Linked DNA regions of Drosophila melanogaster. The gene in region 1 interacts genetically with each later gene. Each region holds a gene or a part of one and is shown on either strand. Other genes may lie near its edges.

What was found.
Region 2: of crm (region 1) and Marcal1, changing one enhances a phenotype caused by changing the other (phenotypic enhancement), as found in Drosophila melanogaster (one study listed by BioGRID).

Annotation. Positions count from the first base shown.
Region 1 is NC_004354.4:2,728,412-2,740,687, reverse strand, and holds crm (cramped), read left to right. Parts: upstream 1-1,914; 5' UTR 1,915-2,020; intron 2,021-2,149; exon of another isoform or gene 2,150-2,198; 5' UTR 2,199-2,225; coding exon 2,226-2,766; intron 2,767-3,014; coding exon 3,015-3,218; intron 3,219-3,274; coding exon 3,275-4,851; intron 4,852-4,919; coding exon 4,920-5,292; intron 5,293-5,359; coding exon 5,360-5,511; intron 5,512-5,583; coding exon 5,584-5,685; 3' UTR 5,686-6,440; downstream 6,441-12,276. Other genes in the region: Syx4 (syntaxin 4), read left to right, coding at 1,143-1,391, 1,456-1,527; CG2712 (uncharacterized protein), read right to left, coding at 6,488-7,132, 7,203-7,457, 7,518-8,123; ttm50 (tiny tim 50), read left to right, coding at 8,640-8,898, 8,971-9,154, 9,211-9,739, 9,799-9,922, 9,982-10,172; dwg (deformed wings), read right to left, coding at 10,735-11,691, 11,754-12,143. UniProt on the Drosophila melanogaster protein: Polycomb group (Pc-G) genes are needed to maintain expression patterns of the homeotic selector genes of the Antennapedia (Antp-C) and Bithorax (Bx-C) complexes, and hence for the maintenance of segmental determination.
Region 2 is NT_033779.5:4,948,018-4,963,230, reverse strand, and holds Marcal1 (Marcal1), read right to left. Parts: upstream 7,723-15,213; 5' UTR 7,649-7,722; coding exon 6,882-7,648; intron 6,824-6,881; coding exon 6,333-6,823; intron 6,274-6,332; coding exon 6,123-6,273; intron 6,054-6,122; coding exon 5,889-6,053; intron 5,824-5,888; coding exon 5,541-5,823; intron 5,480-5,540; coding exon 5,285-5,479; intron 5,224-5,284; coding exon 5,008-5,223; 3' UTR 4,939-5,007; downstream 1-4,938. Other genes in the region: CG34124 (uncharacterized protein), read right to left, coding at 1-732, 797-1,424, 1,698-1,805, 1,857-2,501, 2,564-4,380, 4,439-4,601, 4,659-4,753; Jon25Bi (jonah 25Bi), read left to right, coding at 8,108-8,908; Jon25Bii (jonah 25Bii), read left to right, coding at 10,117-10,947; Jon25Biii (jonah 25Biii), read left to right, coding at 12,483-13,259; jet (jetlag), read left to right, coding at 13,558-14,333, 14,460-14,643. UniProt on the Drosophila melanogaster protein: ATP-dependent annealing helicase that catalyzes the rewinding of the stably unwound DNA.

The DNA.
Region 1 (12,276 bases):
ATTATGTTCTGCAATACAGATTATCACATACGTTGATTAATTATATTGGTTGAGTGGTTAGGCTATACATTTTTATATTGAATAGAATATATTTTCAAACTCAGTGGTTCACCATCAAAAAATATAAAAAAAGAAGTGGAAGCTAATTTACCGCAACACACACATTACATTACATACATGTGTAAATAGATGTTAGCACACACATTCTATACATACAAACATATTTCGCGCGCCATTGAAAACGCAAAATTACAGCGAATTTAGGAAGAAAAACGCGCAAATGCTTCGCATCACAATGCGCATACTCGCATTTACTCAAGTAACACTTTTCACCATCTAAAGATCGTTGAATTCAATAAACTTTATTTCGCGGCGCGCAGTTAAAAAACACGTGCGTATGTCGATGCTCGGGAAGAAGAAGGAATGAGGAAGATTTAAACAGGGAATGATCAAGGGCCAACGGTAAATCAAACTCATATGCACTCTCTCTGTTTGCCGCTGTTGTTTTAACATCATCTATTAGTTAATGAGGATGTTAAATAAAGCATTATGTTCTGCAATACAGATTATCACGTACATAGATTAATTACATTAGCCGTATAGCTAAGCTATACATATTTATATATATAATAGAAACTCAGTGGTTCACCATAAAAAAAAAGTGGAAGCTTATTTAGCGCAACACACACATTGTGTATGTTCATACATACATATGTAAATGCGGATTTTAGCGCGCACATTCTATACACACAAACATATTTCGCGCGCCATTGAAAACGCCAAATTACCGCGAACTTAGAAAGAAAAAGCGCGCAAATGCTTCGTATCACAATGCCGATACTTACATTTACATCTAAACCATGTTAAATACAACAAACCTCATTTCGCGACGCACAATTAAAAATCACGTGCGTATTTGGATGTGGCTGAGAAAAAGGGAAGAGGAAGACTTGAAGAGAAAACGATCAAGGACCAACGGTAAATCAATAAAATAAGATCTTCACCCGCCCTTTCTAACATTCTCTGTTAATTAACCTTCAATTTAACACAAAATGTAAAGATCAAAAGGTATTTGTATTGCAAATAGTAAATAAATGTAGACATTTGCTTAATCTTTATAATAACAATTTTTGTATTTTTAGTTTCTGCAGGAAACGGAAAAGGAGCGGCAGACACTGCGCGAAATGATGGATCGATTCAACGAGCTGCGCCGCCTGGAGAAGTCCATCGAGGAGGTGCACGCCCTGTTCATGCGCATCCAGACCCTGGTAATGGAGCAGAGCGAGGTGATCCAGCGGGTGGAGTTTCACGCCCAGCAGGCCACGCTCCACGTGGACAAGGGCGCCGACGAGCTGGACCAGGCGGAGCAGCACCAGAAGAAGGCGCGCAAGGTGGGCACACTGCGAATCCCCGAGAGCGTTGGGTTCTAAAAGGCATTTTCCCTTGTATTTGCAGAAAAAGATAATGCTCATCGTGATACTCGCAGCCGTGTTGCTAGTATTACTCCTTGTTGGTATTTATTTGTGATGCACGCGAGAAACTTTATTTTTTTGGCCTATTTTTAAAATTTATACGTAAGAAAATAAACTTTAAAACCTCAAGAAGAATTTTTGCAATTAATCAACAGGTAAAGGAAATCAATAAAAGCTTATGCTATTGAGAGCGTGCTCTATTCTGAGTCCCTTTAAATCATTAGTTTGTTTGTTTCGTGTGGATTTTGTATATTTTTATTAAATTTAATATGTAAATAAGATAACGGTTAGTTCAAAGGGTACGCATTTAGCTGGAAAGCAGCCAGGAAACGAAAGCTGCGGCTAGAACTAGCCATTGGCGGCTGTAAAACAACCGAGCGGGCATCGCTGCGGGTAAACAAAACAACTTAACAGCAACCACTTCGCGCCTAACAGCACACACTGCACTGTTGATACCACACTGTTGGCCAACATCAACATCCCTGGCGTCTCGTTAATAAGTTTTTTATATAGTCGTTTGGCACCGATTTTCCATGTCTGATTTGTAGGTGAGTGCACGTCGGAGCTTGGGAAAGCCTTCGAGATCATTTCTGGTCGGTAGTGGATTAGCCCGGGCGCGCGGTTCAGCGACAATACCAAGCAATCGGACGGTTCGGCGCCATTTTCCCACTTTTCCCGGAAGACTACGCAGTTTAATTGATATTGCCATTGATTGATCCTGTCTAGGAGGCAAGCGGATGTGGATTGGCCAACATGGAGGAACTGTCCAAGCAGCCGCCGCCACCCCCGCTGACGCAGCCGCCGCCGCCGTCGTCATCCGTGTCCATTGAGGAGCCGCTGCCAAATGGCAAGGGAGGAGGAGCAGTAGTTGTTAACTCGATAGCTAAGCTGCCCGAGGAGGAGCTCCTCGGCTCGGTGACCATGCACAATTGTCCGGGAACGCGGGCCAGTGCCCGGGTCATACAGAAGATGAAGCAGGACCAGACGCGCCCGATGACACCGCCGCCCAGCGAACGGGAGCCGAACAAAAAGGAGGAGAAGGCCGCCCAAAAGACGCCCAGCCAGCTGAAGACGGGCAGCGGGAAGACCACCTGGACGAATGTGGAGCGCAACTGCTTCTTCGACGCCCTCAACGAATTCGGCAAGGACTTCGAGGCGGTGGCCAACTGCATCAATGCCAAGCTGAAGCGCCGCAATGCCAACAGCGACTATAGTTTCAAAACCAAGGACCAAGTTCGCCAGCACTATTACCAGACCCATCACAAGATTTGCAAATATGTGCGCTTCTCGGAGGGTAAGAAGAAGGGTCAAACTGGATATGACATGTCCCGAAATGTTAAATTAACAAGCTATTGGCAAAATAATGCGTTAATAAGGTCACAGTTAGCTTGTTTCGGTTTCCCGGAAAAATAGATTTTCGGCGCCAAAAACCTCGTGCCTCGGTTAATTCCTAGAATTCAACTAGCGTTGCCATTTTGCCATTGGCCTTCATTTCATTTCGCAATTGCTGGACAATTTTGTAACTTTAATCAATCGTTTTAGAACTGAAAAAGCCCGCCCAGGAGTTGTACACGCTGATCAACTACGGCGAGATGCGGCGCAAGCTGCAGTTCCTCACGGAGAAGCACTTCATGAAGCTGAAGCAGCTGGTCTACCAGGGCCAAATAACCGTGCGTTGCAAGGGCAAGAACATTCGCATTAAGACGCCATCGTGCAAGGCGCTCCGGCGGCTAAATCAATTGGATGGTGAGTCCGCTTCCATTCGATATGTTTGCCCAATAATACCCAATGACAAACCGTAGACTCACTGGAGGATATCCGGCTGCCCAGCAAGGTGGAGGTGCTGGTGACTCCCGCCAATATGGAGGCCTTCGGACGCGTCCAGTCACTGGCGCAGAATCCACGCGGCAGGATCATAGTTCCGCTGCACAAGAAACTAATCAGCTTCATCAAGACGTTCGAGTACAAATGGCGCAGCGCCAATCAGCGTTTGCACGAGGAGAAGAGTGCATACTTTTCCAGCAGCCTGCCATCTGCTGCGTCCAACAACAATAACAACAACAATGAAACGGAACCATTACAGCCGTCAGTTGCATCGCTGGATCCCTCAATGTGCTTCCAGCCCCGGCCGGGAGTGGCCATCCACCGACCTTTGCTCAGCATCACCGCCTACCTAAGCAGCATCAGTATTTGCTTGACGGCATACGAGGAGCGCATGGGCTTCAAAGTGCGCAGCGAGACCTTGGGCAATTTGGCCGGCATGTCGGTGGCGGCCAACAAGCGACTACGAACGGAAAGCGGCTCCGAGAAGCGTTCGCCGGAGACAAAGAAACCCAAATCGAGTGCCAGCCCGCCGCTGGAGAAGAGTTTGGACGACGGGCCCTTGGAGGGCAATCTGATGAAGATGGAGAATAGCAGCGGTGATGAGCTGGGCGAGGAGATTCATGAGTTTCTGGGCGATATATTGGAGGCCATGCAGCATCCGCAAGCAGCCACTATTCCAGCTCTTTCGGCCACCACTGGTGATACCACAACTGTTGCTGTTGCGCTTGAAACATCGCACGATCCTGTACAACAGGCTTATCCGGCCAACGCGGATCTATCTAATGCCATGGCGACATCTGTTCTACAAACTTCCTGTGCTGCAGCTCCCGCTCCTTCGACTCCTGTAACCGGTTCTTTGGCGGCTCCATCCGTAGCCCGCTCCAAACGCAAAGAAGCTAAGGAGGCGGCGGCCGCGGCACAGGCTCGAAATTTTAAGCCACTGCTCAGCGACGATATACTGAAGAGAATCCGCAAGGGCTGGACGCAGGCGAATGCGGCGGATATAACCATCGGTGATCTGTATGTCGTTTTTGGCCAGGATTCCAAGCTGGAGCTGGAGTATTATTGGTGTGAGGTCGACAGTTCGACGGCCATGGCATCCAGCATACTAACAATCAACACGGTAACGCCTAGCTCCTCGTCGGTGGCCACCCAAACCGGCAGCGCCGCCTCGAACGCCAACCAAACAGGCGCATCTTCCAACTGCTACGTCAGCGCATCGAGCAATTCGAGCACCTCGAGCACTTCGCTGCCCTACAATCCCAACGACTGTGATAGCGTGGAACGCGTCAGGGCCGTCACCACATCGTCGGTGAGCAACAAGCTGAAGCACCTGCTACTCGTGGCCAATCTCAGCGAGCGCGTGCGCAAGCGCCAATGCAACTGCGGCCACACGTGCGATCGCAAGCGGGACCTGATGACCAAGGCGCAGCAGCTGGCAGAGGCGACGGCCACCGGCGGAGTGGGCGGCATGGTTGAGGGCAATTTCCGAACGCCGATGCTGCCAGTGCGGCGGCCGATATCCAACATCGATCCTGTGCGCCAACTCTCAGCGGTAAGTGGTCTTTCCTTATTGGCGTTACCCAAATCCCAATTGATTTGCATTCATTGCGTGCATTCTAGCTCACACGGCAAAAGATCAGTCGTCAGGTGCTTGTGCAGCGCCGTCTCCTACCACCCACATCCGCTGGCGATCGTCCGTACGATCTGCTGAGTGTGCGCCAACTCCACAGTGGCCTTTTCGAGCCGATTGATCGCGTGGATGGCATAAGTTCCGCTGGCATCAGCACCTCTGGCTCGAAACCCGATTCCAGCATGAATGCCACGACCGCTTCACAGGATCAAGAGCCAGGGGATCAGGGGGCATTGGAGTTCCTCAACGACGAGGCCACGCAGGTCAGCGCTCGAGACATGCCCAATCTGGACATTTGCGTGGCCACCAACAGGACGGACGTCAGCAGTTCCCTGAACGAGGCGGCCCAAGACGGGAGCACAAGTAGGAGCATCAGCATGTTTTCGCTTTTCATTTTTGTATAAATTTTATATTATCTTCTTCGCGGCAGCTCAAAGCTTCTTCCAAGGCAGCATGAGTCCGATGCACTTGCTCAGAGATTCAACATCCAACGCACGCTGGCTGGAGGACAATATCAATGACTTCTCGTTGACGTCGCTGCTGGGGCATTTGGATGAGATTGATGCCACCAGGGATATACTGGTAAGCCAGAACGCATGCCACACTCCCCACTTGCGACATTCATTGTGGACCGACCTCTAACCTAATCCACAGGATCCGTCGTCAAGCATGTCGGTGATCAGCGAGAGCAGCGTGGACTTTCGGCACAAGTTCCAGGAAATCGCCGCCCTGCTGCAGCAGCAGGAGAAAGATTAGCAGTGGCCACTGCGGCAATCCGGTCGTGTCCTCTTCGTTTGTGTACCCAAGTCCGGATCTTGAGATGAGAGTCGTCCAAGCTGGACGATGGAAAGGAAAGCCACGTGTGCCTCCAAGCCTCATGTCCCACTGATATTACTCATTACTCACTCATCCCACCCACCCACGTTATACCCACTAACATTTATGTTTTTACGCGACTTTTTGTGATCTATACTCATTTTATGTATGCCAAGTATTAGCAAGCACTCACATTGTCTGAACATATATATTTATTTATACATTAACTTTATGTATCGCGCGGCAGCGTAACGCGTAGCTCCCAATCCACACTTTTAATTCCCAGCCCCATTTTGTTTGTTACCCGCTCGCACACTCGTTCCGCACTACTCTAATTGGTTTCTAGCGCGTAAGTTCAATGCAGCATAGTAGCTTAGCTTAAGGTCCCCACACCCGCACCCGCACCCTCACCCTTAGCCACTATCAACTACAAAACCCAATCGAAACTTCCATATGTATAGAGATTCTCCCGCCTCCACCTGATAAACTAAAGCTCATTACATTAAATCAAATCGAAAGGATCGTCAGAAGACTCGAAATGTTTGTTGACCATATATAATATATATGTATGTATGAAACACGCATTATTTTGGGTGGGAAAACCAATCAAATTTATCCTAACAATAGGAACACACTTAAAACTTGTTATTGTGCGAAGGAAAGTACCGAAAATAAAAGCGAATTGAACTAAAACTAAATGTCCCGATTTGTACATTAAGCCGATAGTATAAGCGATCTAGCTTCAGGTCTCCACATTCTCGTCCTGCTCCTCCAGTTGGACACCCACTTCATGCTCGGCCCGCCTCCGCTGTCTGCCCGCCTTGTGCGACTGGCGATGGATGGCGAGTGAGATGCGGCGCTTGAAGGACTTGCCGCACTGCTCACAGCCGAACGGTCGCTCGCTGCTGTGGACGAGCATGTGGCGGTTGAGCTCGGATGTGCTGCCGAAGCTGCGCTTCTGGCACACCGGGCACGGGTGGGGCTTCTCCTGGCTGTGGCAGCGCTTGTGGGCAATCAGATTGCTCGAGTAGCGGAAGCGACGGCCGCAAATGTCGCAGCCGTGCGGCTTCTCGCCCGTGTGGGTGAGCATGTGCTTCTTGTAGCCCGACTTCTGTGTTAGCCTCTTGCCGCAGATGCTGCACTCGAATGGCTTGATTCCGCTGTGGATTAGAAGGTGTGTGCGCAGCGAGGACGCCTGCCGGTAGACCTTGAAGCAGGTGGGGCACCTGTTCGGATTGTTACGATCGTGCAGCGTGACATGGCCGTCGCGGGCGTTTCGCGTCTTAAAGGACTCTCCGCAGATTGTGCAAACGTAGGGCGTGGCCGTGCCATGTAGCTGCATATGGTACTTGAAGGAGTTGTTGGTGCTTAGTTGCTTGCCACAGATCTAAAGGAATGGAGGGAGAATTGATGACCTTCGGCTTTGAGTTATTTGCGAGCTGCGATGACCAACTTACTTTACACTGTAGGGAGGGATTGAGGGGTTTCCAAGGCCGGCTTCCACTGGGCAAAGTTTTCTGCGTCGCCGAAGTCTGTGCTGATTTCTCCACAATCTCGTAGACATCTTCGCCAGCTTTGGCCTGCAAAACGGGCTCCACTTGGAGGCACTCTTCAATGCAGTGGTCGTTGTCTTCTTGGCGAATTTTTGGCTGGCCATGTAGCCTCATGTGGTACTGAAAGGTCCGCTTCCTAGCCAGTTGTTTGCCGCAAATCTGCCGAAGATGGGAAACTATTTCGTGATTACTTACTTCTAATTCGGAAAGGCAACTCACGGGACATTGCAGCGCTGGCTCGGATCTTTCTAACCTGCTCCTACGTTGCTCCGGATCCGGATCGTCGACAATCTCGCAGAGATCGTCTTCGTGCTGTTCCAGTGCAATATCCAGCCTCTCCTCCTGTACAATTGGCGCTTCCAGCCGGCTCTCCGCCTCATCTGATTCTACGACCAGGAGTTGCTCCTCATCTCGTATCGTTTCTGCTGGATATTCAGTCACTTCCTGGTCATCGAGCACGAGTACAAAATCCTCCGGAATCTCGGTTGACAGCCTGGCCCTAGTATTCACCGCGCTGATCTTTTTGCTGCGGCAAAAGTCCGCATGACTCTGCCGCAGAATTCTGTCCATGCGATGGACACTCCGCTTGAATTCCAGCGAGAGCCGCAACTTGGCCACGCAGTCCGGGCAGATGTGGTGGGGCAGGAAGAGCTCCGCCTCTAGGATCTCCAGACCGCTGCAGTAGCTTAAAATGCTGGCCAGCGTCGCTGGTTTGCCGGAAATTGGATCGTCGAGCGGTTTGAAGAGCGGCAGGCAGCGCGGCGATGCTGTGTGGCACACGCGGCACAAGGCGTCCATGGGGGACGGCGGCGACATGGTCGTCATGGATTGAACTCGACAGTAGATAATACACGTTTAAATAAATAACTTAATTTAGCGTCCCGAACAGTGATGCCAAAGTCCAGCTGATGCGTTAGTGGTGGCACTCAAAATAGCTAGCCAGGCACATCAGCTTGGAAGTGACCAGAGGCACAGTGGCTTGGTGGTTGGTCAAAGGTTGTGTATTTCCATATTATTTAAAATATTTTAATTTAAAATTTTCTTAATACTGTGATTAGTCAGATTGCCGGAGGCAACATATGTACACACGCAGTTATCTGCAAAATCCCGCCAGATTTGGCTTGAAAATCGCCGATCTATACCTGCTGAGAGCCACGTGCTAAATGTACTAACGCCTGGTGCCGCCTGGCAGTGGACAGTATATAAAATCCCTAACGCCAACGCCGTGCCGGTGGGAAGTTGAAATTTTTGTTGGAATTTTTTATAAGTAAAAAGTCGCTGCCATCCGAGCAGGACTCGTGAACGGCTCTAGGACTCGATATCGGGAAGGAAGGGGGAAGCATGAGCATGAGCATGGCACCGGCCACCGTCCTCCAGTTGCTGCGCGGCCTTAGCACGCCGCGTCTTCTTACCCACATCCACCAGCACCGCGCATTGGGTAATCACTACCACCACTACCACCAACACTACCAGCACCAGCACCACCTCCTCCACCACCAGCAGCAGTACCTCCGACTATTCACTTGCACAGCACTGCCAGCGGCTGCTCCGGCGCTCTTCTCGATCCTGCACACAGCGCGTGGCTACAGCAGCACAACCAGTAAGTGATTCACGGTAGAGTCCTAAACAGTAGAGTCCTAAACATTCATCCTTGGCCACTTTCGTTTCGCAGAGCAGGAAGCTGGAGCCACTGGCCCCAATGATGCGCCCGAGGTCGCACCGAATGCCCCGCTGCTGGCCAAGCTCTTTCCTCAGACCTCGCCGGAGGTGGACAGCAACGCCGAGCAGGAGCGCAAGAAGCGCGAGGAGGAGGAGGAAAAGGAGAACGAGCGTGCCTGGAAGCGCATGAAGCTGGGGTAAGCTGACGCCCATTCAATGCGTAACAGTATTATAACAATACTTCCTGCTGCAGCTTTGCAATATTCGGAGGCAGCGCCGTGGCTGCTGGATTCTGGGCCGTCTACGAGTTCGGCAAGCCCGAGGTGGACCCCAACGGGCAGCCCATCGAGGACGAGTTCACACACAAGCCGCTGGTACAGCAGTATCTGCAGCGGATGTGGAAGAGCATTCACTACTATCAGCGCATGATCCAGGAGCCGTCGCGCGCCAAACTGCTGCCCGATCCGCTCAAGCCGCCGTACGTGCAGCCGCGCTACACGCTTGTGCTGGAGATGAAGGACGTGCTGGTGCATCCGGACTGGACTTACCAAACTGGCTGGCGCTTCAAGAAGCGTCCCGGCGTCGACCACTTTCTGGCCGAGTGCGCCAAGGACTTTGAAATTGTCGTCTTCACCGCCGAACAGGGCATGACCGTGTTCCCCATCCTGGATGCCCTCGATCCCAACGGCTACATTATGTACCGCCTGGTCAGGGATGCCACGCACTTTGTGGACGGCCATCATGTGAAGAACCTGGACAACCTTAATCGCGACCTCAAGAAGGCAAGTCATGCACAACGTATTTTCTATTGCAATCATCTATAAAGAAGGGAGTATTTTAGGTGATTGTTGTGGACTGGGATGCGAATGCCACCAAGATGCATCCGGACAACACATTCGGCTTGGCCCGCTGGCATGGCAACGACGATGATGGCCAACTGCTGGACCTTATCGCTTTCCTAAAGAGTAAGTTGCGCCACAAGTGACATTGAAAGCTAAACACTGACCCTTGCAATTCGCTACAGTAATTGCGCAGAACAACGTGGACGACGTGCGCGAGGTGCTCCACTACTATCGCCAGTTCGACGATCCCATCAACCAGTTCCGGGAGAACCAGCGCAAGCTGGCCGAACAAATGCTGGAGGCGGAACGCATCGAGCAGTCCAAGACCAAGCCAATGGTCAAACAGTGGTCGCGCAACATTCTCGGCCGCTAGGAGGCTGGCCATACCGCACAACCCGTTCCATACGCATACCTTAACCTTCCGCCTGCGCCGGAGCAACAAACACGCCCTGCAGCAGCACACTGGCCATATTTTTCGTCGACTTTTGGAGTAGTTAGTGGGAAGCAGTAGCAGACAGCAGACAGCAGGATTGGGAGGCACGCTCTGTCTTTTGCTCCTTTGGGAAAAGACGAGGCGCATGTTTTTGTTTTATTGAATAACTAAACTTGCTTGTTTTTGTTTTTTGGCAATTTAATCGTAATATTATTATTATAAAGAGACGACTTAACCGTAAAACCAAAAACAAGACATCCATGTGTTTCGTTACGAAAGTGGAGAACTTGCTGTGCGTTATCTAATCACAATTGATGGATAAGAGTGGCTAAACCTGCTGAGATAGTTATCGTGAAAACAAAATTATTTTTATGTATGTAAAAAATAAGTGTCGAATTTTCTTTCAGTTTTTTCTGGAACAAAAATCAGTTTTATTGAACTAAGTGTCTAATCCTTAGCCTAGGCTTACATTCTAGAGCCGCTCCCACGGCTTGGTGGCCGCTCACAGCACCATCACCACTTTGGAGGTGGACACCGGCTGCTCATGAACTTCGGTTATGTGAAGGTTGGTTGCCGATCCACCGGTCGCACCTCCACCGGTCGGACTTCCACCTGTCGCACCTCCGCCTGTCGCACCTTCTGCGCCCGCTTGTCGGCTGGGAGGATTGATGGACTGAACAGCAACGGTGGCCGTCACCGGCGACTCCTTGTTGTGGACGCGCATATGACTGGCCAGTCGCTTCTTTGTGGGAAAGGCCTTAACGCAGACCTCGCACTTAAACGGCTTTTCGCCGGAATGGAGGCGAACATGGGCATTGAGGTTGCTGGTAAAGGTGAAGGCATGCCCGCAAACATCACACTTGTGCGCCTTGACGCCACTGTGGACCATCATGTGCTTCTTGTAGCCCGACTTCTGAGACAGTCCCACGCCGCAGATCTCGCAGGTGAAAGCCTTCTTGCCGGTGTGGCTTATCTTGTGCTGGCGCAGCGAGGACGAATCGTAGTAGGCCTTGTCGCACAGATCGCAGGCGTATGGTCGCTCGCCCGTGTGCGTGAGCTTGTGGCGCCGCAGATGATCGAACGCCGCATATCCGCGGCCGCACTGATCGCAGTTGTAGGGTTTCTTCTCCGCATGAGTTCTCTTGTGCACTGCCAGACTGGAGGTGGTACGATAGAAGCGGCCGCATATGCTGCACTGGTGCGGCTTGACATTTGTGTGTGTCAGCATGTGTTCCTTGTAGTTGCGTAGGTGCTTCAGACGCTTGCCACACTCCTCGCACTCGTATTGCTTCTCGTCCACGTGGGAGCGCATGTGCTGGTTGAGACGGCACTGCTGGCGGAACGCCTTCTGGCACACGGTGCACACGTACGGCAGCGCCTCGCCAGCGGTCGGCGGCGCTGAGTCCAGCGACTCCTCCAGGAAGTCCTCATCTTCGCAGACATCCTCCGCCTCCGGCAGCTGTGTGTAGGTGAATGGAGGATAAATGGTATTCTAGTGCAATATAATTTGACCTTTCTCACCAGATGCTCCTCGCGCCCATCCCCCTCCAATTCGAGGGTCTCCTCGCCGATGACCTCGTCAATGGCTCCCTCGGCGGGTATCACAATCATCTGACAGTCCAGTATGGCGTCGTGGGCGCCGGAGTCGTTCATCACCTCGAACTCATCCTCCTCCGTGACGATCGTTTCGAACTCATTCTTAATGGTCACATACTCCACTTCGGCGGGCTGAAACTCATGCACGCTCTCCATAGTGATGTGTTCCTCCTGCTGGTCGCCCGACTGTGCCAGCTGGTGCTCCTCCTCCGACAGCTCGTCATCCTGATCCACCTCCTCGGTGAGAAACTCCTCCTCCTCATCCACGGTCATCGCGAAGATGCGACGATCCTCCTCTGCTAGTTCTTCATCCAACTGCGGATGAAGAAGGTGTTATGGTTTTACTTTGGAGTTAGACTTGATGAAGCCCATCTCCTATTTAGACGTAGTGTCACCAAGAGCAGACAAGTTATCCATTGTATGGAGGTACAGGTTGCACTCCTTTGGC
Region 2 (15,213 bases), on another chromosome or scaffold:
CTCGTCCTCGCTGGAGGAAGACGATGAGGAGGAGGAAGAGGAACTCTCGTCATCCCCCCTAGAGACCTTCGGTGGACGCCACTTCTTCTTGAAGATCCGTCGCAGGAAATCGAAGAACTTGTGACCCTTAACGGTGGTCGCGAATAGTACTTGGAGGGCAACGATCTGCTCGCCCAGCTTGTCGATGTTCCGCCTCAGCTCATCCAACTGCCTGTTGGTGCTATTGATAACCATCTGTAGGTCGTTCCGCGTACTCATTGCAGTCTTGGCGTTTAGTAGCAACTGTGTCTCTATCTCCTCGCTGTCGCGCAGGATGTAGAGCTCCTGATTTAGGCTGTTCATGAATGCGGTCATGAACTCGGCGTCCATTTTGACATGGAAGCGTCGTACCTGTAGCTTCTCCAGTGCCTTGTCAAACTGTCGCACCTCCTCGTCCACTTCTGTCCGTATGGCATTCTGCTCCACAAGCAGCTGGCGAAGCCATCGATGACGCGTCTCCATCATATAGGGCACCTGGCCATCATCATTCAACTCGAAGTAGGCCGGATCACTTTTGGGCGGCAGCTTTAGCAGCTCCTCGTCCAGCTCCGCATTGGGAAGACTTCTGTTCAGCTTTGAGATCTGTAGCATCGTGAATGCGGTGTGCTCGTGCAGCTCGGGTACATCCAAGCCGTGCAAACTGAAAAGGCTTACGTTGGCGGTGGATCTCATTGGAGCCATCCTGGCTATCACCTTGTTACATAGAAGATGTACGCATGCATGCTTAATTAAAAGTAGTAACATTCAGTTCACCCACCTGGTCTACACTGTGCTCCAGCGTTAGGATGTCGTCGATCTCCACTCCACAGCCGGGCGTATAGTGCTCGATGAGATTAAGTTCTGGGTACTCCAGGTCCATGTCAATTTCCTGAATCGGATCCAAGGGCTGACGGTCCGGCTCGGGCAGATAATTATGAATGACTGCCAAGCGGTTTCTCTTGGCGGTGATAAACTGGTCCAGCTCACCCTTGCGTTCACGCAGATCCAGCACCATCTGATTGAAGGCGTCCACCATCGCAAAGTACTGTTCACGACACTCCACCACCTCTATGTACTTCTGGGTCAAGGTTTCCGATGACTTGGGCTCGTAGTCCGAACCGATTTTCAGCTTGAAGTCACCCAGGTTGCGCTTGGCATCCTCGATCTGGGCATCGTCGTCGGGATGGTTACGATTGGGGTCCGGCTTCTGGCGCTCCAGCTTGTCCCAGTCGAAGATGCGGCGCACCTCGAAGATCTGGCGTTTTCGATAGCGGGTGAGGAGTCGCATCATCTTCTTGCTGAAACGCGGCTCAATGCTTTTCGGATCCCGGCCAAAGAAGAACGACTCCGGCGGGGGTTCCCCAATGGATTCGTCCGATCTCTCGGGCGCCACATAGTCATGCAGTCTGTAATCATTGGGTATTAGGTATTTAACTAGTGCCATTAAAGTTTAATCTATGATTTGTAATATGCATTGATGGTGTAATCAATAATTATGGTGGACAGGTGATCAAACTAGGAACTAAGTAGCTTGGATGGCTTACACTTCCGGTTGCTCTAGTACTCGATCCTCCGTGTAAAGGCTGCTTGTGTTGAATGTAAGAGTAAGATTTGTATGTATTGTATATATTTCTCGTGTTGGCAGTGTGAAGAGGTGGAGCCTGATTTTCGCCACTTACCCCATATCATGCTCCCGCTTCAGGCGGTCCTCTATATCCTGCTTGATCTGAGCATGCTCCTCGCCCAGAGCCTGCAGGCGAAATGTGGACACACCCGGCACGTTGGCACTAAAATCACAATGTTAAATCTGTTGGAATGATAGGAATCCTTTTACTTACCGCAAAGGAGCGACTGTGAAGGGGACTTGGACGAGTTCCTTGAGAAAGTGATTGTAGAGCTTCGTGTGTCCCACTTGGGCAAATTCCAAATCGTAGGCCAGATCCTCTCGAACGTCATCCAACTCTGCCTGCAGCTCATTTCGAATTTGCCGGGTGATACGATCGTCCAGCAGCAAGTCGGTATCCTTGGCCCTCAGACCCGGAGGTAGCTCCTCGTTGATCCTGATAATGTCAAAGTAGACGTTCTGGAGCGCTCCGATCTTACTGAGCACATCACGGTCATGTGCATCGGCTGCTTCCTGTTGCCGCCGCAGCTCCGCGTTGATTTTCTCCTGTTCAAGGGAGCAAGCCTCCGGCTCTATGTCCGGAATCTGGGTAACTCCCTCCGGCAGGGGCGGCAGTTTATCCCTCACCTTGTTCCTAACGATCTTCGGACCGTTCCACTTGTGCAGGAACACGTTGCCATCGTAGCCAATGGTGAGTAAGTGCTCACCACTGTAGCTAATGTCGATCTTGGGAATGGTGCCTTTCAGGCCGTCGTGCATGGGATAGATGCGGAACTCGGAGAGGTCGGTGAAATTGTCCGGATTGATGCGATTGATTCGAATACGTCCATTGTGAAGACCAAAGATGATGAATTCATCGCTGGAAAAGAGATAGTAAATGGATATACCAGGATATGCCACATCTCTAGCGCTTAAACTCACATTATGCAATACGAATGAATCTCGATGTCATCCGCCTCCGCTATGATGGTGGCTCGAGTGGGCTCCGCCGCATTGAACTCCAGCTCATAGATATAACCAGCATCGTAGCCCGCCATTGACACCCAAATTGTGTCTCTTAGGGTGTAACGCAGCCAGATTATGGCGTTGGGCACGGTCGGGATGTGAAGCGGCTCCTCCTCCTCATCCGGTTCCGAGTCCGCCAGCGCTGACTCTATGTCAATTTGCAGGCCGGGATTGGCCTTCTTCAGTTTCTCCACCTCGTTCATTTTACGCTCTCGCTTCCGTTCCTTGCGCTTCTTCACGTTCTCCCGATGGATGTCCCGCCGGATGCGGCTCTTAATGGAAGCGAACTTCGTGTGGCGCATGCGCGAGTTTTCTGTTATGTTATAGGACAGGTAGGTCTCGTGATCGGTGACCTCTGTGCGGATGTTGTACTCGTACAGGTCACCACTCTTGCAACCAACCAGAACGACGGTGGGTTCCGTTTCGTGCCAGTAGAAGCAGTTCGGAATAGCTGCAAACTGCACAAATCCCAGCGGACGCATGTCCACCATCTGATGCTCATCCCGGCTCAATTGGTAAATGAATATGCTCTTGTCGGCGCTGCCGGTCAGGAGTAATGAGCTGTTCCGGCTTACAGTGAGTGCAGTAATCGGCGATGTGTGCGCCTTGAAGGCTCTTACGCGAGTCATCTTGGGCCTTTCCCCGTTGCTCAGGTCGAGATACATTTGCCGCAGAATACCATCCTTGAAGGCAGCCACCAGCTCGGTTCCCTTCACAGAGATATTCGTATCCAGCCAGATCACATCGACTCCCTCCGCCGGGAACTCTTTCTCCAGGATCAGACGCTGTTCATCGTATTGGTAAACGAACAGCTTTCCGCTCTCCGACATGCAGAGGAAATGGGGCGATACTGGAGACATCTGGGCTGCCAGTACCTTTCCGCCAATGCAGGAGTAGAGCTTTCTCGGTTTTTGAGGAACGTCGTAGGTGTTAATGTCGCAGAACCATATGCCACCGTTACCATCCTGGGCGTAGTGGGTGAAATCGGACTCATCAAAGGGATGTATCTTCTGCATGCAACGAAGCTCCACGTCGGCTATCTTGAACTCGTAGATCGGATCGATCTCTACAAACAAATCGTCCTCTGGCGGATCGGCCAAGTCGACCGTTTCCCAGTACCAAACGCGCACATAACCGTCCATGCCCACCGTCGTCACCTCACCGTTCTTCATGGTTATCCTCGTAATCGGTTTGGTGTGGCACGGTTTTCGACCCTTCCGGCAGATCTCGAACTTTATGAGCCCCGCCTGCCAGAGCAGCATGTTGCCCCAATCGCTGCCAGAGATCACATTCTCATCCTGCAGCATGTACATGGCATAGATATCGCTGAAGTCCGTCTTGCCAAAGCGACCCAGATCTCCTTTCAGCTTCAGGCCGGTAAAGGTGTTGGCCATCTTCCAGAACTTGATGTGGCTAAGCCCGGAAGAGCAGAGCAGGATGGGATTGTGCTCCGAAAAGTGCACGAACAGAATGTCGCTCTGAAAGGACTTGGCACGCAGGACAACCTCAGCGTTCTCCCAACGCCAGATAGTTATGATGAAATCCGGATAGCCAGCCTGCGAGGCGAACAATTCCCCCGTCTTGTTGTAGGAGCCCGCCGTAAAACAATTCTGAGCTGCATTCAGTAGCTTAACACGGACATTAAGCGATGGATACTCGTAGATAAAGACAGTGGGACGAGCTCCGTTCTCGCCCACCGTAAAGAGGTTGGTGTAGTCAGGATGCTCGTTTTTCTGGCAATGGAGTACCATTAGATCATACAAAGGTACTCAAAGGTACTAAAAAGCTCACCGTTATAAAGCCCACTCCGCAGCCGTAGACCGTTTCCTGAAAGGAAATCTCCTGGCGCGAAATGCTAAAGTAGTTGAGGAAGTTTCCAGAGGCAAAAACCAGCGTGTCTGAATCCACAAGGACCAAATTAAACAGCTTCTTACAATCGTAACCAAAGGAGTGTCTGCAGCAGAAGTTTTCCAATCAAGAAAAAGTTATCAACTTCCAATTCCGTACTCACTCTACACTGACGATATCACGCGGAAAGGATACGTCGTTCTCATTCTCCAACTCCTCCTCTTCGCCCAGCAGATCAGATTCCTGCGTAGTATCCATATTATTTAGCTATTATTGTACAAAACTTAACTTGCTGTGTATTTATTTATTTGATACAAGTGAAAAGGTTTACTTGAGTGTTTGTTTGCCTGTTGCCAGGTCACATGAAACCGGCTATCTGAAAAGAGTTCTGCAAACGTGGAGCATGCGCAGAAGTGCGTTCAACAAGTTTCATTCAATGCTATAACATTCTCAAATACAATTTATTACGATTAACTCAATAAACATTCTAGGATTAAATTCCATTACACAATCTAAATATCTAATTCCAAAAAAGCCTCATCATCATCATCGTTAAAGAACGCCGCGATATCCGACTCAGCCTTGTTTACTTTGGTCATTTCTGTATTATTATTTTGCTCAGGCGGCTCTTTAGCTGGAATAGTTGAAAAATATTGTTTTATGCTATTCCTTTCCGGTTCAAGGGAGGTGGACGTGGAGGGCGAGAAGTACTCCTCGATCTTGTGGGACTAAAAAAAAAGTTGAGTTAGCGAAAAATACATTTTTCAAAGTATTCAAAATGTATCTTACTGAAGTGGGTGCTGCTGTGTGTGTTGCTTTCTGAAGATTTTCGGCAAAGATGCCCACTTTACTAAGCACCTCTTGCTTATTTTTCAGCATGTTCCAGATTATATCGTCTGCCGTATTGTGAGCAATCAGATAGCGACAAATCACCGGTTTTGTCTGACCAATGCGATGGGCACGGCTCTCCGCCTGGGCAAGAGTCTGCACATAAAATAAAACTAAATTTAAGCGTTCTCCAAGTTAACATATAAGCGAAGCTTACGCTAGGATTCCAGTCCAGTTCAGCGAACACTATGATCTCAGCTGCAGTTAGCGTTATTCCTGAATTGCAGGCTTTTAGGGAGAGCAGGGCCACCTTACAACTGCTCTTCTTTTGGAACGTGTCCACAGAATCCGACCTGTGATCGCTACGCGTTTGTCCATCAATACGTATGTAGTGTACTTTCAATCCACTGAGGAAGTCGCTAATGGCGTCCATCATGACACGATGGTGGGCAAAGATAATGAACTTTTTCTGCTCCTTAACTAAGGTTTTTAGGTAGGCGCTATAATGCAGGATAATACATTAACTTCAGATGGTTTATATGGTTTTAATGATTTTTTTTATTACCAGACCGCTCGAGTTTTCACTTCGGCAGTGCGTGCATAGAAACGGAGTAAGATCTCTTCCGTTGCCCTGCCTTTAGCGGTTTTAAGCTCTTTGTTAAACGCATCCAAGGTTTCCTTGGTCTCCGCATTGGTCCACACTAGGGCGGGATCCAGGACGACAGTCTCACTGCGGATGGAAGAATGTTCGAAATGTTAGAAAATATATTATAGATATACAACAATGTGAACAACCCACCGGTTCTTCTCAGCGAGTTGAGGCAGCACCTCCACTTTCGTTCGCCTCAGCATATATTTAAGGTGAAGTATGACCTTCAGTTCCTCCAAATTCGATTGACCATTGGCATCCCAACCAAAAGTTGACTGCTTTCCATCACAATAACGAGTAGCTGTGAATGTGTTAATCGATATAAGCGCGTTCTAAGGTAAACAGACATTCTTGACATACTGAACTCCATGAAATTCATGAATTTGCCATCAATCATTTGCAGTTGCGTAAAAAGTTCCAATGGCCGGGAGAGAGCCGGTGTGCCGGATAGCAAAACCACCCGCTTCGCCTGATCCGTGAGTCTTTTGGCCGTTGTCGTGCACTTGGCCTTGCTGTTCTTCAGCGTGTGCGACTCGTCGAAGATGATGAAACCAAACTTCCGCTGCATCAGCTTATCTTCGTGTCGCTCCATCATATTGTAGCTGGTGATTAGCACCTTGGCCTCACCCACATATAGCTGATTGTTGTTCAGCACCTGGACATAGTGGATGGGCACCTTCGGCAGTAGATCCATTATGTGTTTCGCCCAACTGTCTCTCGTAGAAGCGGTGGTGCAGACAAGCAAGGGCCAATCATCCTTGAAATAGTCGGCTACGGCCAAGGCCTGATAGGTTTTGCCCAGGCCCATTTCATCACAGATCATAATGCGTCCCTTTTGGGCTATGGCAAAGCTAAACATATGATAAATTTAGCGCTTTTGGAAGTACATAGCATACAAGCAATGCTTACCATACCCCATCCTGTTGGAAGGGCATTAGCTGGTCCGCCAGCTTCGGTTCTATGGAAGCTAAAACACTTCTTTCCGGAACTACTGGCGGCTGGCCGCAGAGATCCAGCACCTTCTTCGGAATGCCATTCATGTGAACATATGGCTTTAGATCCGCTGCATGAGTTTTCAGGGATTGGTAGTCCGACAGATCGAAACTCCAGATACGGGTTTGGCCATCGTAGCACTTGGTGGGCATGTTCTTGAACACGGTCACGAGCTGTTCGTGATATCCTGAGGTTTGGGCAGCAAACCGATGTGTGCTGATCAAGTAGAGATTACACGTGATGGAGTTTCCGAGTAGCACAGCCACCGGTTTCTCCTTATCCGAACTCAGTGAAAGAGTGGGCTTGTTTCTTTCGTTCCCTCCATTTGGCCGCTGGTAAGGATGTGCTGCTCCGCGGGACAATTCCCGGTTGGATGTCTGTTTGATTGCTTTCAGAGCGTTCAGAAAGGATGAGCTCTTGTTGTCACCGGGCGTGGGACCGCTCCTGTTGATCTTCTTCTGCTCCCCCGTCGGTGATCGGTAGAAATTCAATGGGGATTTGGCCTGCGGTTGATTGGGATTTGATTTTCCATTATTCGCATGTTGCGTCGCACCTGTTGCAGACGTTGTTGATTTTCCATTGGTTGCGGGTGCGCTGGCCAGCAGCTGGGATTTCTTGGCCTGCAATTTGGCCAGCGCAATGCGCTTCTTCTCCGCTATCTCGGATGAACTGCAAGTGGACATGCTGCGACATCAATTGATAAAATTTGGCGGAATATATAAACAATAAATGCATGGCTCTGTGTGACCAGGTGAGCCATTTTTCAATCCTTACATCTTACATTGGGCGCCTATTTTAAATTATTTTTACATTTTACATACTCTATGTATACATTATTATGTATATATTATGTATAAATTATTTAGTCCTTAAATTAAATTAAAATCATTTCTGTTTTCTTATATTGCCTACGTCGGTTGTAAGCGAAGATAATCAGCTTAGAATTTTTCCTAAAAGCGAGTTATTATTTTTTTTGCCTATCAAGATGTTCTTAGACGTGCTATCAATTAATTTCCATTGGTATCAGAGGGCGAATTTCTTAGAGATAGGATAACGCCGAGTGGGGGCTACTCCAGACAGCGATAAGGGGCGCAATAAAAACGGATGGAAGTCTGGCGCAGACCACGATTGATCCAATCACCATGAAAGTGTTCGTTGTACTGGCTCTGGCTTTGGCCGCTGTCTCCGCCGAGACTGTCCAGCAGGTTCATCCCAAGGACCTGCCCAAGGACACCAAGATCAATGGCCGCATTGTGAACGGATATCCAGCCTACGAGGGCAAGGCTCCCTACACCGTGGGTCTGGGCTTCAGCGGCAACGGCGGCTGGTGGTGCGGTGGTTCTATCATCGCCCACGATTGGGTCCTGACTGCTGCTCACTGCACCAACGGCGCCTCCCAGGTGACCATCTACTACGGAGCCACCTGGCGCACCAACGCCCAGTTCACCCACACCGTCGGCAGCGGCGACTTCATCCAGAACCACAACTGGCCCAACCAGAACGGCAACGACATCGCCTTGATCCGCACCCCCCACGTGGACTTCTGGCACATGGTTAACAAGGTGGAGCTGCCCAGCTTCAACGATCGCTACAACATGTACGACAACTATTGGGCCGTCGCCTGCGGTTGGGGACTGACCACCGCCGGATCCCAGCCCGATTGGATGGAGTGCGTCGACCTGCAGATCATTAGCAACTCGGAATGCTCCCGCACCTACGGCACCCAGCCCGATGGCATCCTCTGTGTGTCCACCTCCGGCGGAAAGTCCACCTGCTCCGGTGACTCCGGTGGCCCCCTGGTTCTCCACGACGGTGGCCGCCTGGTGGGTGTCACCTCCTGGGTTTCCGGCAACGGTTGCACCGCTGGCCTGCCCTCCGGATTCACCCGTGTTACCAACCAGCTGGACTGGATCCGCGACAACTCCGGCGTTGCTTACTACTAAGCTTGATTATCTTTATTTTTAAATAAACGAAATGCATAACAATTAATTTGACGCCTTTATGTTTCTGGTTTTATTACATTTAAAAAATCACATGGATATTTTTAAGTTTCAAAAGTCTAGTCATGCAGAATCCGAATCTATAATAAACGTCTTATAGATAAGAAGCCATGAATGGCTAAGAAATGGGATGGTTTCTTGGCAATCGAACACTTGTTATCTGGAAAACATGATTAAACACTATATATGTAGCCATGATAGACATAAGTAGGAATACTAGCAACTGTGGTCTATACTAGTCAATAATCAGATAATGAAATAATATATATATTTACCAAAAGATTATATATTCCAAAGGATTATTATACTGACAAATCACAAAAGCGAAGTGATATATTTATTAAATATATGAAATATATTTCTAAAAAATAATACAACTTTCGTCTTTAAAATATTTCACTTTTTACTTGTAAATGTTTAGTTTATTGTTTTAAATTTTAATTTTAATAACTTTAATGGGAGTGCGTTTAATATTAAAACCTAAACAATGTAGCGCACTTACGAACGTTAAGTACAGTATAATTCGCTTAGCTGCCTCGAGTACTTTGCACAATGCCTCGATGCAGGTAACTTAAAAATGCAGCTAACTTAATTTTTTTTTTTCTATTTTCTATTTTCTATTCACACAAAAAAATGGAAAAATAATGCAGATATCTTGCCGATGCAGCTAACTATCGATGCAGCTAAGCGAATTATACTGTAATACTACTTTTGAATGACCACAGGACGTGTGCCCTAATCTCTGTGCGCTCCTGTTCGAGTGTTCCATTGAGTTGTGGCTCTGGGCATGAATGGGGGCTTATTGGCACCTATCTTAAGATCAGCTCCGAGTGGCCGCACGTCCATGTTGATAGGGTCGGACAATCTTCTAATGAATGAGTGGCAGTGGGCAATCGTCAGATTGAGTGGTGGCAAGTCATGAGCCGGAAAGTGTCCAAATCGGATGGGTAGATCATTGGAGTACCCTGTAATGATAGTGCCGCATTTTGGAGGCGTGCGAAATTAATTTGATAAGATTAGTCCGACCGGAGTGTTTAGAACTTTCGAGTGGCGAATGGTGAAGATCTCTAGCGATATGAATACGTCGGATTTGGGGGGTATATAAATCACTGCCCGTCGGCGGAGTATCCACTTGCACTCAAGTAATCAACATGAAGCTGTTCCTAACTGTCCTGGCCGTGGCCATTGCCTGCGCCGCCGCCCAGCCTGAGAAGGTGAAGCCGGTGCCCCTAAAGGACGCCGTCCTGGGATCCGGATCCGGCTCGATCGAGGGTCGCATTACCAACGGCTATCCCGCCTACGAGGGCAAGGTGCCCTACATCGTGGGTCTGGGCTTCAGCAGCGACAGCGGTGGCTGGTGGTGCGGTGGCTCGATCATCGGTCACACCTGGGTGATCACGGCTGCCCACTGCACCCACGGAGCTCACTCCGTCACCATCTACTACGGTGCTCTGTGGCGCCTCCAGGCTCAGTACACCCACACCGTGGGCAGCGGCCACTTCCGCCAGCACTCGGACTACAACACCAACAACCTGAACAACGACATCTCGCTGATCAACACCCCGCACGTGGACTTCTGGCACCTGATCAACAAGGTGGAGCTGCCCGATGGCAACGAGCGCCACGACAGCTTTGCCGGCTGGTGGGCTCTAGCCTCCGGATGGGGCAGGCCTTGCGATAGCTGTGGCGTCTCCGACTACCTGAACTGCGTGGACTCCCAGATCATCACCCGCGACGAGTGCTCCAGCGTCTATGGAACCGATGTGATCACCGACAACGTCATCTGCACCTCCACCCCCGGCGGCAAGTCCACCTGCGCCGGCGACTCTGGCGGCCCACTGGTCCTCCACGACCGCTCCAAGCTGGTCGGTGTCACCTCCTTTGTGGCCGCCAGCGGCTGCACCTCGGGCCTGCCCGATGGCTTCACCCGCGTCACCAGCTACCTGGACTGGATCCGCGACCACACTGGCATCTCCTACTAATTTCGTTCTCGAAATAAACCCTTCTGCATTTAATAGATAATTGTTTTTTAATTCGATAGTTTAAATTTAAGGAATGGGGAAACTAAAATGGATTATCTTAAGGATCAAGATACTTGATTTTGTATGGTTTAGATTGATTTTCGATATCTTCATAGAATGTTTTCATAGAATACGAATGATATGGTTTCCAATTTATTATTATTTATGATTAAATGTTAAGCCTCATATTTAAATTAAATCAGAAAGATAAGTAGTGTTATAAGTTATAAAGAATTGCGTATTTCATTTGTTGTTAGTGCCAGTCTAGTTTATTTCTCTTACTATCTCAGTTTTCTATCAATTGATTTGGAGGGATTTGTTTATTTTTCAGACCTACCTTCGATAAGATTAAAGGGTTTACGCATGTGGCTAAAATCTCCATTTTGTTTAACTTGTTTATAATAAATAAAATTTTCCTTCATTTAAATAATGATAATTTATATTTCAGTTTTTCTTAGAATATTAAATACAGATGTATATTTTGTTTCTGTTTTATTTTGGATATATTTTTGTAAGTATTAAAACGATTGGATAGTTTAGAAACTTTAAGCAAAAGCTATATATAATAGCAAGCAAATAATAATTTACAGATTTGTACTAGATTTAATCTTATCTTCAATGACAGCTAACTTTTTTAGTAATTTTGACAATTTTGCTGTAAAGAAGTTCAATCAGCATTTTTATGAAAATAACACACAAGTTTTTAACATTTTTCCAACACCTATTTTATTATCACTTTCAAACATTTGTTTACACTTGAACAATAATTGTAAACTATTTTATTTTTAAGCACTTGTAATTCTTGTTATCAAAAACCTGTGAGTATATAGGGTTATCATACACTTGTGCATCAAGTTTTGGTTTGTTGTTGTTCTTATTAATTGTCTATTAAATTAATAATAGTCGAGAATCCTTCAGCCTAACTTGGCAACAGTTAGTAATAGATTTGAAAACAAGCGGAAAACCTCCAGCCATTATTACAGATTATCCTTATCAGGACAAAAAGCAGACATACATTTTATGTAAAAGTTAACAAACAACTTTATTGAAAATCATTCCTGTCCAAAGATCATTGTAAATTTTAAGTTCTGAAAAATGATGATAAGATAGAATGGTCTGCGCAAAGGTTGACAAATATATATTTTATAATTATGAATAAAACTACAAACATATTTGATTAGCCACAAAATATTATTCCATTTAGATAGATAATAATTTGGCTGTTTATTGCTGCATACTTAATATATGGTAAATAATAAAATAATATAATATATATAAATATATATAGTCTAGTGGGGGGGGTCTAGTCCCCCCTAGAGTTTCTTTGATTTCTACTACTGGCTTGGTAGAGTGGTTCCTCCATTCTTATCGATGACATCGTTTATGGGAGTCTTGAGGATTATTTACGAGCCCTTTTCGAGTTGCAGATATGGTTTTAGCTGAAAATGTGTATAAAAGGCTGCCATCCGAGAGTAGAATCCAGTATAAACATCAGCATGAAGGTGTTCCTAGCTATCCTGGCTCTGGCCGTGGCTTCGGCCTCCGCCTTCGACGAGAAGGTCTTCGTAAAGGACCTGCCCAAGGCCACCAAGATTGAGGGTCGTATCACCAACGGATACGCCGCCCCCGAGGGTAAGGCTCCCTACACTGTGGGTCTTGGCTTCAGCGGAGGCTGGTGGTGCGGTGGCTCCATCATCGCCCACGACTGGGTCCTGACTGCCGAGCACTGCATCGGAGATGCCGCTTCCGTGATCGTTTACTTCGGTGCCACCTGGCGCACCAACGCCCAGTTCACCCACACCGTTGGCAACGGCAACTTCATCAAGCATTCCAACGCTGATATCGCCCTGATCCGCATCCCCCACGTCGACTTCTGGCACATGGTGAACAAGGTGGAGCTCCCCAGCTACAACGACCGTTACAACAACTACAACGAATGGTGGGCCGTCGCTTGCGGATGGGGTGGCACCTACGACGGCAGCCCACTGCCCGACTGGCTGCAGTGCGTCGATCTCCAGATCGTCCACAACGAAGAGTGCGGCTGGACCTACGGCAGCGTTGGCGACAACGTCATCTGCACCCGCACCGTCGACGGCAAGTCCATTTGCGGAGGTGACTCTGGCGGTCCCCTTGTCACACACGACGGCTCCAAGCTGGTGGGAGTTAGCAACTTCGTCTCCTCCAACGGCTGCCAGTCGGGTGCTCCTGCTGGATTCCAGCGCGTCACCTACCACTTGGACTGGATCCGTGACCACACTGGCATCTCTTACTAATTTTTCTAAATAAATCGATCATTTTAAAAGCAATACGTTTCGAGAGTATATAAATCGGGGTCACCAACAAAATGTATGTGTTCTACACTTGTTTTACGCAGTGTAAAACAAATTTTACTCGTGTGTAGAAACCACGGCGTAAGATTACACAAATAATTTTTGTAGCAGTTTTGTGTGAATGCCAAAGCAACAGCTGATTGCTATCAAGTAAACAATTAATTACGTTTTTGCCGTGCACCAAAGGATTGAGTTGGGAGTGCTTTGTTGGTGCGTAGATCACGTAACCGGAGGCGGCAGCATGTGCACTCTGCACCCCGAGGAGGAAGCTCACCTGATGGCCATGGCCAGCGGAGGACAACCAACGCGTACGGCCAGTCCAAGGCCATTGGTCACCGCCTCCATTGCAGCACCACGATCGCTGTTTGATGTCTGCTGGGACGATGTGCTCATCCCGCAGGTTGCCGTCTACCTGTCGCTCAAGGATCTCTTCAACCTGCGCTGCTGCTCCCGTACCGCACAACGCTTTGTGGAGGCTGCGCTGGAAAAAAGGCAGGAACTTCATCTCTCTGGGAACAACACAAAGAATATCGACGTGGCCTTTCGAGTGCTGGCCCGATGTTGCCAACGATTGGAGGTGCTTCATCTGGCCTGCTGCCGATGGCTAACAGATGAGCTGCTGCTGCCACTGCTGGCCAACAACAAGAAACGCCTGTGGGCCGTCAACCTGAACGAATGCGTCAACATCACGGCCCTTTCGCTGCAGCCGATCATAGTGGAGTGCAAGGAGCTGCGCGTACTCAAGCTGTCCAAGTGCCAGTGGCTGACCACGGGAGCAGTGGACGCTTTGACGCTGCACCAAAGCAAGCTGGTGGAGTTCGACATCTCCTATTGCGGCGCAATTGGAGAGCGCTGCTTGATTATCTTCTTCAGGAAACTTAACAAGCTCACCGTCCTGTCGCTGGCAAATACGCCCAGTGTCACCGATCAGGTGCTCATCCAAATCGGGAACTATTGCCGCGAACTGGAGCACATCAACGTGATCGGGTGTGCGGCTATCTCCGACTATGGCGTGCAGTAAGTAATACTCGTAGTTATCCCTAAAAGCTGTTGTCATATTGTCAGTAAACCTGTGCGTGCCTTGTGTCTGTGTGTTTCTGGGGAAACCAATCTCCATCTGCATCCGCATCTGCGTATTTTCAGCGCTTTGACAGTGCACTGTTTGCGGCTACGGACCTTGCTCATTCGACGTTGTCCGCGGGTCACAGAACTCTCCCTGGCGCCGCTCCGCCAGCGGCGTCTTTACATCGATAGGCCACAGCCGGATGTGGGGCTCAACGCTTACAACTTGAACGACTTCTATCCCAGCGATTTCCTTGTTTACTAGCCCACACTTCGTTCTCCCTCTTCCGCAGTGCCCTCACCTCCAGTTGCCCGCTGCTGCAGTCACTGATGGTGCAGCGCTGCCCATTGGTCACCGAGCGTGTGCTCGCCCCACTTCGTGGACGGGTCCACATCGATCGGCCCGGCATGGGCTACATGCCAACTGTGCAACATCACCGCCTGTTCCTGCAGGTTTGAGATTAATTCTGATTCCGGGCCAATATTACCAATGTACCAAGGAGGCTTTCGAGGCTATCCAATACTTTTGCTGTAAATACATGCCTCAGCATGGGACGCTTTAATTTACTTTTAAGCTTAATCTTACACATTGTTAACATTAATTTAGGCTGTACAATAAACATACTAACTTATTCATCTCTCTCTCCAAAAGCTCGAGCTTTTTGCATTAAAATACATGTAAACCAGAAAGTAAGCTAGAATCGGCAAGCCGAAACTTATATACCCTTGCAGTAATTATAACATTTATACCGATTAAAAACAACGACCCGTTCATGCAGATTGCTAAACTAAGAGACTATTTGGCATAGAAACTGACAGACGGACATGGCCGTAT